2 linked regions of the Elephas maximus indicus genome follow. The protein of the gene in region 2 interacts with the protein of the main gene of each other region in a pairwise test. Links are inferred from orthologs where the notes say so. Each region holds a gene or a part of one and is shown on either strand. Other genes may lie near its edges.

Region 1 (7,377 bases), on a different chromosome or scaffold from region 2:
ACTTTTTACTAACATATTTAAAAGATGTCTTTGGGTTTCTACCTAACCCTCTTTTCACAAATTCTCCATGGACGATCTCACCCACTTTCATGACCTCTATTACCACCTAGACTTGTAAACTCATAACTGCAGCCCTAACCTCTCTCCTGAGCTCCAGGCCAACCCATGTGTCAACTAACTGCTGGACATCTTGGACAAAAAAAAAAAAAAACAGTTACGTTGAGTTGAATTCAATTTATGGCAACCCCATGTGTGCAGAGAACTGCTCCGTAGGGTTTTAAAGGCTGTAACCTTTCAAAAGCAGATCACCAGGCTTTTCTTCTGAGATCCTCCAGGTGGGTTCAAACCACCAGCCTTTCAGAGTGGGGCACTTAGCCAACTGTACCACCCAGGGACTCCAGGCATCCCCACCAAAAAAAAAAAACCAAATCCGTTGCCATTTAGTCGATTCTGACTCATAACGACCCTATAGGTCAGAGTAGAACTGCCCCATATGGTTTACAAGGAGCGGCTGGTGGATTCTAACTGCTGACCTTTCAGTTAACAGCTGTAGCTCTTAACCATTACACCACCAGAGCTCCCAAGGACATTTCCACAGGCCCCTCCAATTCATGACTCTGGCTGAAATCATCTCCTCCCACTCCCAGACCTCTTCTTAGGTTTCCTTCCTTGTTGAATCATATCAGGCCAAACAGCTGGGCGTTAGCCTTGGTTCCTCCTTCTCTGTCCAGTCCCCAGGCCAGGTCTGTTTGCTCACCACTATATTCTTCACAGGGGGCTCTGGTGGCACAATGGTTAAAGTGCTCAGCTCTAACCAAAAGGTCAGCGGTTCAAACCCAACAACAGCTCAGAGAAAATACCTGGCCATCTGCTCCGATAAATATTCACAGCCTAGGAAACCCTATGGGGGCAGCTCTACTCTGTCCCAGAGTCGCTCTGAGTGAAAATCAACTGAGCAGCACACAATAACATATTCTCTACACTACACACAATGGTTAGCACATAGTGTTGTTGCAGGGTATAGTGTAGAGAATATGTTGTTAGGTGCCATCGAGTCGATTTTGGACTCATAGTGACCCCATGTGACAGAACAGAACTGCCCCATAGGATTTTCTAAGCTGTGTCTTTACGGAAGGAACCCTGGTGGCACGGTGGTTAAGTGCTTGGCTGCCAACTGAAATGTCAGCAGTTTGAACCCACCAAAGACTCCACAGGAGAAAAGACCTGGCGATTTGCTCCCACTAAGATTTATAGCCTGGGAAACCCTATGGGGCAGTTCTGCTCAGTCCTATAAGGCCACTGTGAGTCAGGATTGACTGGATGGCATACAATAATTTTTTTTAATTGCATTTTAAGTGAAAGTTTATAATCCAAGTCAGTTTCTCATACAAAAACTTATACACACGTTGTTATATGACCCTACTTGCTCTCCCTACAATACGACAGCACACTCCTTCTCTCCACCCTGTATTTCCCATGTTCATCCAACCCAGTCATGTCCCCCCGCCTTCTCATCTCGCCTCAAGACAGGAACTGCCCACATAGTCTCATGTGTCTACTTGAGCTAAGAAGCACAATCCCTACCAGTGTCATTTTATGTCTTATAGTCCAGTCTAATCTTTGTCTGAAGAGTTGGCTACGGGAATGGTTTTAGTTTTGGGCTAACAGAGAGTCTGGTATCCATGACCTCTGGGGTCCCTCCAGTCTCAGTCAGACCATTATATCTGGTCTTTTTACTAGAATTTGAGGTCTGTATCCCACTTTTCTTGGCACACAAAAATTTTTCCAGGAGCAGATCTGCTAGGCCTTTTTCCTGAGGAGCCATTAGGTGGGTTGGAGCTGCCAACCTTTTGGTTAGCAGCCAAGCATTTAACTGTTGCACCACCAGGCCTCTTAGCACATTGTAGGCTCTCCATAATATTTGTTGAAATAACTTATTTGTTCTTTTAACAAATATTTATTTAATTAATTTTTTTTTATTTTGCTTTAAGTGAAAGTTTACAAATCAAGTCAGTCTCTCATACAAAAACTTGTAAACCACCTTGCTATATACTCCCAACTGCTCTCCCCCTAATGAGACACCACACTCCTCCTCTCCACCCTGTATTTCCTGTGTCCATTCAACCTGATCCTGTCCCCCTCTGCCTTCTTTTCTTCCCTGCAGACAGAAGCTGCCCACATAGTCTCATGTGTCTACTTGAGCCAAGAAGCTCATTCCTCACCAGTATCATTTTCTGTCTTATGGTCCAGTCCTATCCCTGTCTAAGGAAACCCTGGTGGCATAGTGGTTAAGTGCTATGGCTGCTAACCAAAGGGTCGGCAGTTCTAATCCGCCAGATGCTCCTTGGAAGCTCTATGGGGCAGTTCTACTCTGTCCTATAGGGTCGCTATGAGTCAGAATCGACTCGACGGCACTGGGTTTTGGTTTATCCCTGTCTGAAGAGTTGGCTTTGGGAATGGTTCCGGTTTGGGGCACACAGAAGGTCTGGGGACCATGACCTCTGGGGTCCCTTTAATTTCAGCCAGACCGTTAAGTCTGCTCTTTTTACAAGAATTTGAGGTCAGCATCCACTGTTCTCCTGCTCCCCCAGGGATTCCCTGTTGTGTTCCCTGTCAGGGCAGTCATTGGTTGTAGCTGGGTACCATTTAATTCTTCTGGTCTCAGGCTGATGTAGTCTCTGGTTTATGTGGCTCTTTCCGTCTCTTTGGCTTATTTTTACCTTGTGTCTTCAGTGTTCTTCATTCTCCTTTGCTCCAGGTAGGTTGAGACCAATTGGTGCATCTTAGATGGCCACTTGCTAGCGTTTAACGCCCTAGAGGCCCCTTACCAAAGTGGGATGCAGAACATTTTCCTGATACATTTTATTATGCCAATTAACCTAGATGTCCCCCGAAAACATGGTCCCCAGGGCCCTGTCCCTGCTACTCTGCCCTTTTGAAGTGTTCAGTTATATTCAGGAAACCTCTTTGCTTTTGGTTTAGTCTAGTTGTGCTGACCTCTCCTACATAACTAATATTTATTGAATGCCACCGTAAATAAATGAATGTAACCAGTCACCAAGTCCTGTCAATCTTACATCCTAAAGAGCCCCATTCTGGTCTGATTCTTTCCAATCTCACAACCAGTCTGCTAGTCCAGGCTGTTTCAGTTTCTCATCTTTTAACTGGCCTCCTGGACACCAGATTTTTACCCCTTCAATCCTTTTTCCTTGTGAAATCCAGAGTAAGCTTTCAAAACTACAAATGTTTTTTGTCAATCTTTGACTTAAAGCCCTTCCATGGATGAAGAGACACTGTCTAAAGAACAGTGTTACTTAAAATCACAAAGGTAACCATTAGATGAACTAAAAATAGTGATAGAAGTATAAAGGACCATTGGAGGAAGGGAAATAGAGAGTATAAGTTATATCCATATTTATAATAGGAAGTCAGTAGACAATGTTTAAAATCAAATAGTAATAGTATAAGCCTACTGTTTAGAATTATGGGTTAAACACCAGGAAAAGAAAAACAACAACAACTGAAAGTGGTTGCCTATGGGGTATTGGACTAGAGGTGGGAAAGGAAAGCAGGAGTAATATTTTCATTGTAAATCCTTTTATAACCATAGACTGGAATTTCTTGGTTTAAACTAAAAAAACCAAGCCAAATTAAAAAAAAAAAAAAAGTTTTTAGTGGCTCTTCATTGCCCATAGAATAAAACATAACCTTGCTACTCAAAGTGTGGTCTGTGAACCAGTGGCATGGCCAACACCTGAGAGCTGGTTAGAAATACAAAATCTCAGGCCTCACCACTTACAGAACAAGATTCATAGAAGATTCATATGCACAATCAAATTTAAGAAGACGGATTTACAAGAGCCAGCATAATTTGGCCCATGTGGACCTCTCCAGCTTCAGCACTGTTTGCTTCCTCACTGGCCGGGAGGGCTTTCATTTCTGCTCCTTCTCTCTTGAGTTCTAGCCACGGGGCTAGTATTGGAGTGTGTGTTCCAGTGACTAGCTAAATCTAGACAGTTTTAGACCCAGCTCCTCTGCTCCAGGAAGCCTTCCAAAATCCTCTGCAGCCCTCTGCTACCGCTGTCCTTTAACCTTCCACATCCCCGACTGAGAATGCTTAGCCTTGATTCAGCACGCATTTATTGCGCGCCTGCTGTGTCCCTGGCTGGATTCAGTGCCCGAGTAGGGAGAAGACGTGGAGTTCTCCTAGGTACCCTTTCAGGTACAAATCCAGTATCGGCCAGCTCGACACATTCCAGGGCTAGAGGTTGTGTGCGCAGCACTCGAATATATACCTAGATTTGCGCAGCTTTTCTGAGTGTTACGGCACCTTCCTCCCGCCCCCCGCGCCGCGCGGGCGGGGACCCACCCGGTCGGCTCCGCATAGGCGCGGGAGACTGGCGGTCCCTTGGGAACAAGACCCCGGCGTCCGGTCTCCAGCACTGCTCAGGCTTGGGTCCGGATGGAAGGGGCCGCGGAGTCCCAGAAGCCTGACCTGCGAGACGTGGAGGGCAAGGTGGGCAGGAAGACCCCTGAAGGGCTGCTACGCGGGCTGCGAGGCGAATGGGAGCCAGGGACCCCTGGCGCCCTGCTGCTCCCGGGGGCAGCTAGCACGGGCCATGGCCTGGGGGACAAGATCATGGCGCTGAGGATAGAGCTGGTGAGTGTCGGCTCCACGGGCCAGGGGGTCGGAGTATCCTGTGTAGGGCCGGAAAGGACTGATTGATGCCCCCAGAGTTGGGCTGGAGAGGAGCGAGTTAAAACCCCTCACCTACCCCTCAGGACCCCACCCAAGTCTTTTCACAAACCCTGAGGCAGAGGTGGATTGATCTCCATTAATTGCCCCCGCAAGGGTAAGTGGGGTGTTAATGGGTCCTGAGGACTTGGGGTGGGAGGCACAGACTCTAGGAAGTTATCCTGTCAAATAAATGGGAGTGGGAAAATGAAGTCTGAGAAGCTACTGAGAACCTAAAAAAAAAAAACAAAAACCCACTGTCACAGTGACTCATAGTGACTCTAGGACAGAGTAGAACTGACCGATAGAGTTTCCAAAGAGCGCCTGGTGGATTCGAACTGCGGACCTCTTGGTTTACGGCCGTAGCACTTAACCACTACCCACCAGGGTTTCCACTGAGAACCTACGAGAGCACAAATCCACACAGGGACCACCTGTTTCCACCTCAGCCCCCTTTATAGGACATCCAGTTTTTTTTCTCCCTCTCCAAACTGGGAGCTTCTTGAGGACTGGGAAGGGGTTTGGTTCATCTGAGGCTCCAGTATTGAGGACAGGATTCAGCACCGAAGAGATCTGGGTGAGGGCATATCTGCTGAAAACTGCCTGGACCAGGAGCACTAAAAACATTCTCCCTCCCTTTGCCCAATGTCCCCACTTCCCCCTTTCCCGCTTGAAATATTTGAAAGTTCCTAGAACCATGACAGACACAGAGTAGGAGCACCATCAGTGTCTGTTCCCTCACCTCTGACTCAGTCTCCTACCCCAAGGTACACTGGATACTTGGATCCCATCTGTGTCTCCCTGGGGAGAAGATGAGGAAACAGGCACCCTCATCCCTGGTGCTGCTGGTCTAGATTCAGAGCCAAAAGGGCAGCTACCCGCTTCCCCCCACTCCTCACAGACTCCCCAGGGTCCTGGTTCCTGAGCAGGTGGTGATTTACACCTGCCATCACTTTGCAGCTAGTTTTAGGGATCTGAGAAATTGCTGGCCAGTCCCTGGCCCAGAACCAGGAGCCCACAGTGAGTGTGTCAGCTAAAAAGTCTTCCTGGAGCCCCACTGTGTGCCAGGCTGTGCTGTGAGGGATGGAGGGAGGAGATCACAGGGCTCCCAGACCAGTTAGGGTTCTTACCTCCTGAGAGGATAGGAGAGCCTTGTGGGCGGAGCAGTCAGGGAAGGCTCCCTGGGGGAAGGACCTGAATGCCAAGGGTGCACTTGGCCTTGAAGGTTGACTCTGCTAACCTGAGGCGCAGGGTGGCTGGGGGTTGGGGAGGGCTGGCTTTGCCTTATCCTACAAATAAAAGTTAACTTTCAGTGAGTGCATGTGCCAGGAATCATGCAATACTTTACGAGATATTATCTTAATCCCCACAGCATTCCTATTACATAAGCGATATTTTATGGATGAAGAATCTGAGGCACCGAGAGGTGAAATAACTGCCCAAGGTCATACAAAAAGTAAACAACAGAGCCAAGATTTGAACCCAGGTGGTCTGACTACACTTTACATCTTAACATTGAGACCTGCCTTGTGTCACATGCTTTAAACACATTGTCATTGAAGTGAGAAAGGTAGTCATCATTTTCCCTGTCACACAGCTATGGAAACTCTCTTGGAGATATTAAGCAGCTTGCCTGAGCTCAGGCAGGAAGTCAGCAGGGGAGCCATGCCTAATCACTCTTTTCTGCCTGTATTGGAGACTACTGTCCATGAACTTGAAAGGAGGTACATTTAACTTTTGATTTGTCTCTCTGTATTCTTAACTTTGCCTGGCCAGAGGCTGGAGGGAGGGAGTCTTCTGAGGGCCAGAACAGGGAGAGGCTCCTTATAGACACCCACAAATCCCTACCCCAATCCTTTCTCCCTCCTCAGGCCAGGGTGTCATTGATCCCTTCATGCACTCTGCCGTGACCACTGGCTTGGGCTCAGGGAGGACAAGGGGTGGGGCAGAGGGATTTCCCTTGGAGCCACTGGTGGCAGGACTGGTCCAAGTCCTGTAAGGACTGTCCTTCAACTGACCCCTTCCCAGCTGTCCTTACAGGGAGGAGCAGGCCTGCCTTTGAGGCCAAGGTCAGCTCTGCCTCTTCCCTCATGCCTCCCATCTCTATTCAAGGGTTGAGAGAACCAGCTGAAGTCTGGGTTATGTGGGAAGGAGAAACAATGGCAACATCCCCTTGGTCCTCCCACCCAAAGAACTGTTTCCAGGACAACCCACCCCCACAGAGCAGCTTGAGGAAAAGCTTTTAGGCCAGGAAGGTGAAGACATGGGTTTGAGATCTGGCTCTGCTCCTGAATTCTTTTGTGGTCTTGAGCAGGACCCTGTCTTTCTTCTTCCAGCCTCAGTTTTCTGCCTCTGGGAATAGGGGGTGGGATTTTGGAACTAGGTACTCTCTAAAGGCCCTTCTAGTAACAATGATCTGAGAATCTCAGTCCACAACCAGGATGCTGGGAGTGGGATCTCCAGGCTTTTACCCTAGAGTCTGATTTGGATGGAGCAATGAGGTAGCCATATCCCGTTATCCCAGGGCTGAGTAGAGAGTCTAATGTGTACATGTTGAGGGGAGGGGGTAGGGTGATTCAGAGAAGAAACCTGAATCCCCCTTGGAAAAGAATCAAGTTGGGGTGGCCTCTGAGGCTGCACAT
Region 2 (7,268 bases):
ACCATATACTCCTTAACAGCCATTTACTCAGGACACTTACTGTCAAGGCGTCTTTGCAATGTTTAAAAATGTTTATTATAATATGTATGTGGTAAAATGTTAAAACAATGTAGAAGCCTGAAAAACTGAAGTCCTCATCCCCTTCCCAGAGGTTTTTGTTTATCCTTCAAGAGATGCCAACAGACACAGACTAAGGATGCCCTTTCCTTTCGAGCAGGTTACAGATTCAACTCACTACATATACGTGGCCAGAAAGACCAGGAAGATGGCAACACTCCCACTTGGAGAGGCCAGCTGGCCTTAGAGCTGCAGGGTACCCCTAGGTCAGAGTGAGAAGTCCCCTGTGCCCTTCTCCCTGCCACTCCCAGCTCTTCTGGAGACTAGGTGCTGCTTACCCATCGGGGCAGGGCAGGGCAGCGTCACCACCTCAGCATGGTCCTTTGTTTTTTATCCTCCATTATGCTGTTCCCCTTGCCATCCAAGGTGCCAGCCTGTGTCTGTTACTGTGTTGGTTTTTTTGAAGCCTAAGAATAATTACGTAGCATTCTTGAACTTGCTTTATTTTTTTTTTTTTTTTGGCTTTAAAGAACCGTTCCAGAGGCTAAAAGTCCAAATCAGGGTCCTGGTCGTGCCAGTTACTTCTTTGGACCTCTCTCCTAGTTTCTGGTGTCTGCCAGCAATCCTTGTTGTTCCTCTGATTGCAGACAAATCTTCATGTGGTGTTTTAGTCATCTAGTGCTGCCATAACAGAAATACCACAAGTGGATGACTTTAACAAAGAGAAATTTATTTTCTCAGTCTAGTAGGTTACAAGTCCAAATTCAGGGTGTCGGCTCCAGGGGAAGGCTTTCTTTCTCTGTCGGCTCTGGAAGGAAGGTCCTCGTCCTCAATCTTCCCCTGGTCGAGGAGCTTCTCAGGAACAGGGACCCCATGTCCAAAGGATGCGCTCTGCTCCTCGTGCTGTTTTCTTGGTGGTACGAGGTCCCCAACTCTCTGCTTGCTTCCCTTTCATCTCTTGAGAGATACAAGGTGGTACAGGCCACACCCCAGGGAAACTCCCTTCACCTTGGATCAAGGAGGTGACCTGACTAAGGGTAGTATTACAATCCCACCTTAATCCTCGTGACATAAAATTACAATCACAAAACGGAGGACAACCACACATGGCCTAACGAAGTTGATACACAGATTTTTGGGGGGATATAATTCAATCCATAGCCTGTTTGTCTATTCTGCTTTTTCTGTACCACTCAGAAATGATGTTTAGGACCCACCCTACTTTGGTATAGCTTCATTAACACAACAAACGAAAACTATTTCGAAACAGATCATATGTACAGGTACAGGGGTTAGAACTTCTGAATTTCTTTTGGGGGACAAAATTCAATCATAACATTAGTTTTTAGAATAGTAAAATGGTTAAGTGCTCAAGTGCCAGTGTCTGGCCAACAGTATTTGTATTTTGGCTCTACTACGCATGGCTCTGTGACCTTGAGCAGACAACTGACCAATCCTCTCTGATCCTCCCTGAGAAATGGGGAAAAGTTACTGTCAAGCTCAGTGCCTGGCACATACAGCTGCTTTACTTTTTGCATAACAGTGCACCTTGGAGACTACAGAGTTCTTTTTAATGACCATAGATGGTGTTTTACTGTGTAACTGTATTAACTCTTGATGATGATGTTAGTTGCTGACTCTGACACAGGGCAGCCTTATGTACAACAGAACAAAATGTTACCCGGCTCAGTATCATCATCACAATCACCATCATGTGTCAGTCCATCATTGTGGCTACTGTGACAGTCCATCTCACTGAGGGTCTCCCTTGCCCTCACTGGCCCTCTACTTCACCAAACATGATGTCTTCCTCTAGTAGTTGATCCCTCCTGATAATGTAGCCAAAGCAGGCGAGTCAAATAACGTGCTTTTCTGATCCATAAGGTTTCTATTCACTAATATTCAGAATTCGGAAGTAGATAACCGGGTCTTTCTTTCTAGTCTCTTAGTTGGGAAGCTCCACTGAAAAGTTCATGGGTGACCCTGCTGGTTTCTGAAATACTCGTTGGTATAACTTCCAGCAACACACAAGCCACCACAGCATGACAAACTGACATGATAATTTAATTCTCTATGATAGACATTAGTTTCGAGCAGCGCTTGGAATCAGTTTGGAACTGTTCAGTAATTGCCGACTTAAATGAGGGCATTGTTGCATAGCAACCAGGTCTCTTGCCTTGGATTTTGACCAAGTGCTCCACTCAGAGATGATGTCTAACAATGCTGCTTTGAATGTGTGTTGCTCTCTCCACAGTCCTGCCATTAATCCAGTCTCCTGCATGGGTCCCAAAATTTTCAGGAGCCTGATGCTTTTCTGTTAAAAGGTGATCTCAGGGAGTTTTGATTCAAGGTTTTGAAAAGCGTCTCAGGGCAATAGCCTCAAGGAGTCTTTTGGTCTCAGTGGTCCAGTTAATCTGGCCATTTTTATAAATTTGAATTTTGATCTGCCTTTTTCTCCCATTCAACCAGGATCATGTATTGTGACCCTGGTTGGGTAAGTCAGTGGTGGTAGCTGGGCACCATCTCGTTTTTCTGTTCTCAGGGTAGTTGAGGTCATGCTTGTGTAGGCAATTAGCCTTATAGACTTGTTTCCTCTCTGTGATTTTTGGTTACCTTCATATTCTTTGGCTCCTGACAAGTAGAGACCGATAGTTATATCTTAGATGGCTGCTTGCAGACTTTTAAGATCCCAGATACTACTCACTTCACTGGGATGCAGCACATGAACTTTGTGAACTATATTGTGCCAATTGATGGAGTTGTCCCATGAGACTAAGGTCCTCTTCCTACAAACTTAGAAAACCAATCCCACAAAGTGTTCAGTTATGTCCGAGAAGTATCAGTAATTATGTCTTCTTTCAATATATGTGCCTGCACACACATATCTGTACTCAACGTGTATAGATACTACGACCTGTGCACACTTACGTGCACACCTGTACCTACCCGTATACTTATTTGCCTATACTCATACATATGTAATCATATGCTGGTTTTGTGGTCATCTTTGTGTCTACAGTAATTACTTAAACTGGACCCACAGCTTTTTTTTTAAGCTATCATTTCTGAGAGCAGTATTAACCTTATCTTCTGTCTTCCCCTTGTGTGACAGGTGGGCATCAACTACCAGCCCCCCACCGTCGTCCCCGGGGGAGACCTGGCCAAGGTGCAGCGCGCCGTGTGCATGCTGAGCAACACCACGGCCATCGCCGAGGCCTGGGCTCGCCTCGACCACAAGTTCGACCTCATGTATGCCAAGCGCGCCTTTGTGCACTGGTACGTGGGGGAAGGCATGGAGGAAGGCGAGTTCTCGGAGGCCCGGGAGGACCTGGCGGCGCTGGAGAAGGATTATGAAGAGGTGGGCGTGGACTCCGTGGAAGCAGAGGCCGAGGAAGGGGAAGAATACTAGATGGAGTGTGGCTGGCAGCCATTTATTTGTATCTCCCCGACTGTAATTTACAGATTTATCTATTAAAATTTCTGTATTGAGGCGTCCCGTCTCTTGTGCTTCATTTTGACAAAATTCCCAATCCAGATACCTGGCTTTTCAAAGAGATTTCTAGAGGGGAAACATCCGTTTATTTCTTCTCAAAAGAACAAATTAAGCATGTCTGTGCACATTTAATTGGTAACTTACATTACCTCCAGAAAAGCCTCAAAAGGCTCGGTTGAGGGAATCGGAAAAATGCTTTACTCAAATAATATAAAGTCTTTAGCTCGCCATACTTGGTGTTCTCGGGACGGCAATCTGCCTTTTTCGCCCAAAGAGAGCTTTCTGAAATCATGGGATGACTCTGCACCCCGGCTTGGCGGCGTGGAGCCCGGTCCCGCCGCTTCTCCAGGGCAGCGCAGACCCAGGTCGGAAACGCCCATCCTTCCGGCCTCCCCGCGCTCCTGTCCGAGGCTGCCACCGGCGCCCTCCAGCCCATCACACTTCCCTGTAACTAGTGACGGCCGCCCGACGCACCGGCGTCCCTCTGCCTGAAGTCCCTGGCCGGTATCCCGGAGTAAGCTCTGAGCACTGGTGTCTGCCAGGGGGTTCCGGGCAAGCGTCCCGGCCGCTTCTCGTCATCGGGGTTTCTTCTGTGCAGTTAGGGACCCTCAGCTCCCGTGGGTGCCGGTGCAGTAGGCTGTGCGCCCCAGAGCTGGAAGGCAGCCGCCATCACGCGCCCCTCGGTCGGCGCCGGGCAACTCACAGATCCGCGCGGGCGCCGAAAAGACAGCACCGGGAGCGCGTTTGCCGCGCGGGCCTGGCCCACTCGCCAGCCAGCCACGCCCGCTTCCCGTCCCGCCCACAGCCGAGCGCCGCGCGCGTCCGCTCCTCCGTCTCTATGGTGCCAATTTCCGCCGCGCGCCACCCATCGCGAGACTTCGGCGGCGCAGCAATGGCGACACCGTGAGTGCAGCTGACAGGAGTTCAGAGGCCGGGCTGGGGCAAGATAGGGCCGGGGGAGCCCCGACAAGCCAGGGCCCCTGGAGCGGAGCGGCGGTTGGGGCGCGAGGCCCCTGCGGGCCCGGACAGACGCCCTTGCCCAAGCTCCTGCCTCTCCCCCAGATGCCGCGTCACTGTTCCGCCGCCGGCTGCTGCACACGGGACACGCGCGAAACGCGCAACCGCGGCATCTCCTTCCACAGGTCAGCGCGCGTGCGTGCTGCCGCGCGAAGGCTCGCGTGCGCATGCGCTGGGCTCGCGCGCCGCTCTGGGCGCCGGCTGCGCATGTGCCCCGGGCCTCCGTCAGGCGGGGGCGAGGCTTGAAGTCACCGGTGAGAGAGGGTGAGGGGGGCGGTGCCGGTGGGACCGCGATCTGTAAGGGAAGGAAGGGGCGGGAGGTGTGGGCCCACTGCTCCCTGACTCTCACCGCTAGGTGACGCTGAACCAGCTGCTGGCCTCCTCGAGGCTTCACTCCGTGCCCGGCGCTGTGCGCGGCGCCTGCCCTTTCTGCCCAGGGCCCCGGGCGGCATGAGCCCGCGCGGCCGGCGGCCCGGCGCTCAGGGGTGTGTGGCTCCGCAGACTTCCCAAGAAAGACAACCCGCGACGAGGCTTGTGGTTGGCCAACTGCCAGCGGCTGGACCCGAGCGGCCAGGGCCTGTGGGACCCGGCGTCCGAGTACATCTACTTCTGTTCCAAGCACTTCGAAGAGAATTGCTTCGAGCTGGTGGGAATCAGGTGGGCCTCCTCGCGGCCAGCGGGGTCGGGCGTGGGCTGTGGGTGTGGGAGAAGCCGGGCGGAGGGTGGCCGATGAGGAGGGCCCTGGCGCAGCGAATAAGGCGAGGCTCCGAGGGCGGTTCGGCCTCGTCCAGTTGTCTTCTAACTAATGAAGACGGGATCATCGGGCCAGTGACGCAGAGAAAAAATATTAGTCCTTCCAGAGACTGTTGTTTAGAACTTCAGTACTGTCAGCAAGCGCACAAATTAAAGAATCCCCTGTGCTGCTCACCCCGGCCCTGCTGGGGAGTCTCTCGCCACATTAGCTCCAAGGAGGCCTGCAGGGGGGAGATTGTCTCACTGCCGGCGCTTGCGCTCCCCAGGCTACCTATCGCAGTCTGCCTCCCTGCCTCCCCCAGGGTGCCCAGGGACCCTGCCCCGGGGTGCTGGCGGGGCACCCTGCCCAGGGCAGGTCCGCCTGTGGGGGCAGCATCTGCTCTCAGCTCATCCGGGCTGCTTTTCCCATAGCGGGTATCACAGGCTGAAGGAAGGGGCGGTCCCCACGATATTTGAGTCTTTCTCCAAGTTGCGTCGGACATGCAAGACTAAGGGGCGCAGTTACCCACCTGGTCCTCCTGAAGTCAGTCGGCTCCAGCGATGCAGGAAACGGTATGTGCTACAGGTGGGGGCAGCCCCGCTGCACTCCCTTACTGCAGTCTGAGGGCCTGGGATGTGGGGTGCCTGCTGGTGTTCTGAGAGCAGTGTCCTGAGCCCAGCTGTGTGTGGGGGCGCTCAGGTGGGCTAGTGAAATGAGGTCTGGCAGGGCCTTGGCCCAGCTTGTCAGGTTCTTTCTCTCCCTAGCTGCTCTGAAGGCCGTGGACCCACAACTCCATTTTCTCCTCCTCCACCTGCTGACATCCCCTGCTTTCCCGTAGAAGAGGCCTCAGCACCTGCGGCTTTGCCGACCTCTCCAGCTGGGAGGCTGGAGCCTGGCCTCAGCAGCCCCTTCTCAGACCTCCTGGGGCCCCTGGGCGCCCAGGCAGATGAAGCAGGCTGCAGCACCCAGCCTTCTCCGGAGTGCGAGCCGGAGCGGCAGCCCTCCCCTCTGGAGCCTCGGCCTGTCTCCCCCTCAGCGTACATGCTGCGCCTGCCACCCCCCGCGGGGGCCTACATCCAAAATGAGCACAGCTATCAGGTGGGCAGTGCCCTGCTCTGGAAGAGGCGGGCCGAGGCAGCCCTCGATGCCCTGGACAAGGCCCAGCGCCAGCTGCAGGCCTGCAAGCGACGGGAGCAGCGGCTACGGCTGCGCCTCACCAAGCTGCAGCAGGAGCGGGCGCGGGAGAAGCGGGCACAGGCTGACGCCCGCCAGACTCTGAAGGAGCACGTGCAGGACTTTGCCATGCAGCTGGGCAGCAGCTTGGCCTGAGGGATGGGCACTGGGCTCCAGCTGACAGAGAGGCAGTGCCAGCCTCCTCTCCCTCTGATTCTGCCCAAGAGGGACCCAAATGAACTGTGTCCACCAGACCTGACCAGATGCCATAATAAAACAGATGTGAGAATGAGGCCTGCTGTTTGGCTTCAATGGGGCTGGGGGACCCCCTTGAGTCTCAGGTTCATTCCCCAGGAAACGGCTACCAGGCAGTGGGCTAGAAGTCCTTGCAGCCCCCAGAAGGCACAGACCCTGGAGCCCAAGCTCTTGCCTGCCTGGACTAGAAACCCCATTCTCTTCCTGCAGTTCCTCCTCACGGCTGCACAGGTGGACAGGTAGCAGCCCACACCTGTCCAAGAGGCAGGGACTCCAGGGTGGGGCTCTGGTGCCTGTTGCCCACCCCCCCCCATGCCCCACAGAAGTCTCTGAGGGAACCCAGACAAACCTATTGCTATTGATTCCGACTTATAGTGACCCCATAGGGTTTCCAAGGTCGTAAACCTCTACGGAAGCAGACTACTGCTTTTCTCCTGCAGAGCCACTGGTGGTGTCAAACAGCCCAACTTGCAGTTGCCAGTCGATCACTTTAATCACTGCCACCAGAACTCCTTTCTGAAAGGATACAGTGGTGTAACG

What was found.
Region 1: the proteins of THAP7 (region 2) and LURAP1 interact in a two-hybrid assay, tested with the Homo sapiens proteins (2 studies listed by BioGRID and IntAct). The two-hybrid records come from large-scale screens. The link is inferred for Elephas maximus indicus from reciprocal best matches to the Homo sapiens genes THAP7 and LURAP1.

Annotation. Positions count from the first base shown.
Region 1 is NC_064821.1:88,831,768-88,839,144, forward strand, and holds the start of LURAP1 (leucine rich adaptor protein 1), read left to right. Parts: upstream 1-4,359; 5' UTR 4,360-4,462; coding exon 4,463-4,660; intron 4,661-7,377. UniProt on the Homo sapiens protein: Acts as an activator of the canonical NF-kappa-B pathway and drive the production of pro-inflammatory cytokines. Promotes the antigen (Ag)-presenting and priming function of dendritic cells via the canonical NF-kappa-B pathway.
Region 2 is NC_064840.1:21,509,981-21,517,248, reverse strand, and holds THAP7 (THAP domain-containing protein 7), read left to right. Parts: upstream 1-4,407; 5' UTR 4,408-4,453; intron 4,454-4,612; coding exon 4,613-4,692; intron 4,693-5,068; coding exon 5,069-5,224; intron 5,225-5,731; coding exon 5,732-5,872; exon of another isoform or gene 5,873-5,979; intron 5,980-6,064; coding exon 6,065-6,629; 3' UTR 6,630-6,766; downstream 6,767-7,268. Other genes in the region: tubulin alpha-3 chain-like, read left to right, coding at 3,170-3,466. UniProt on the Homo sapiens protein: Chromatin-associated, histone tail-binding protein that represses transcription via recruitment of HDAC3 and nuclear hormone receptor corepressors.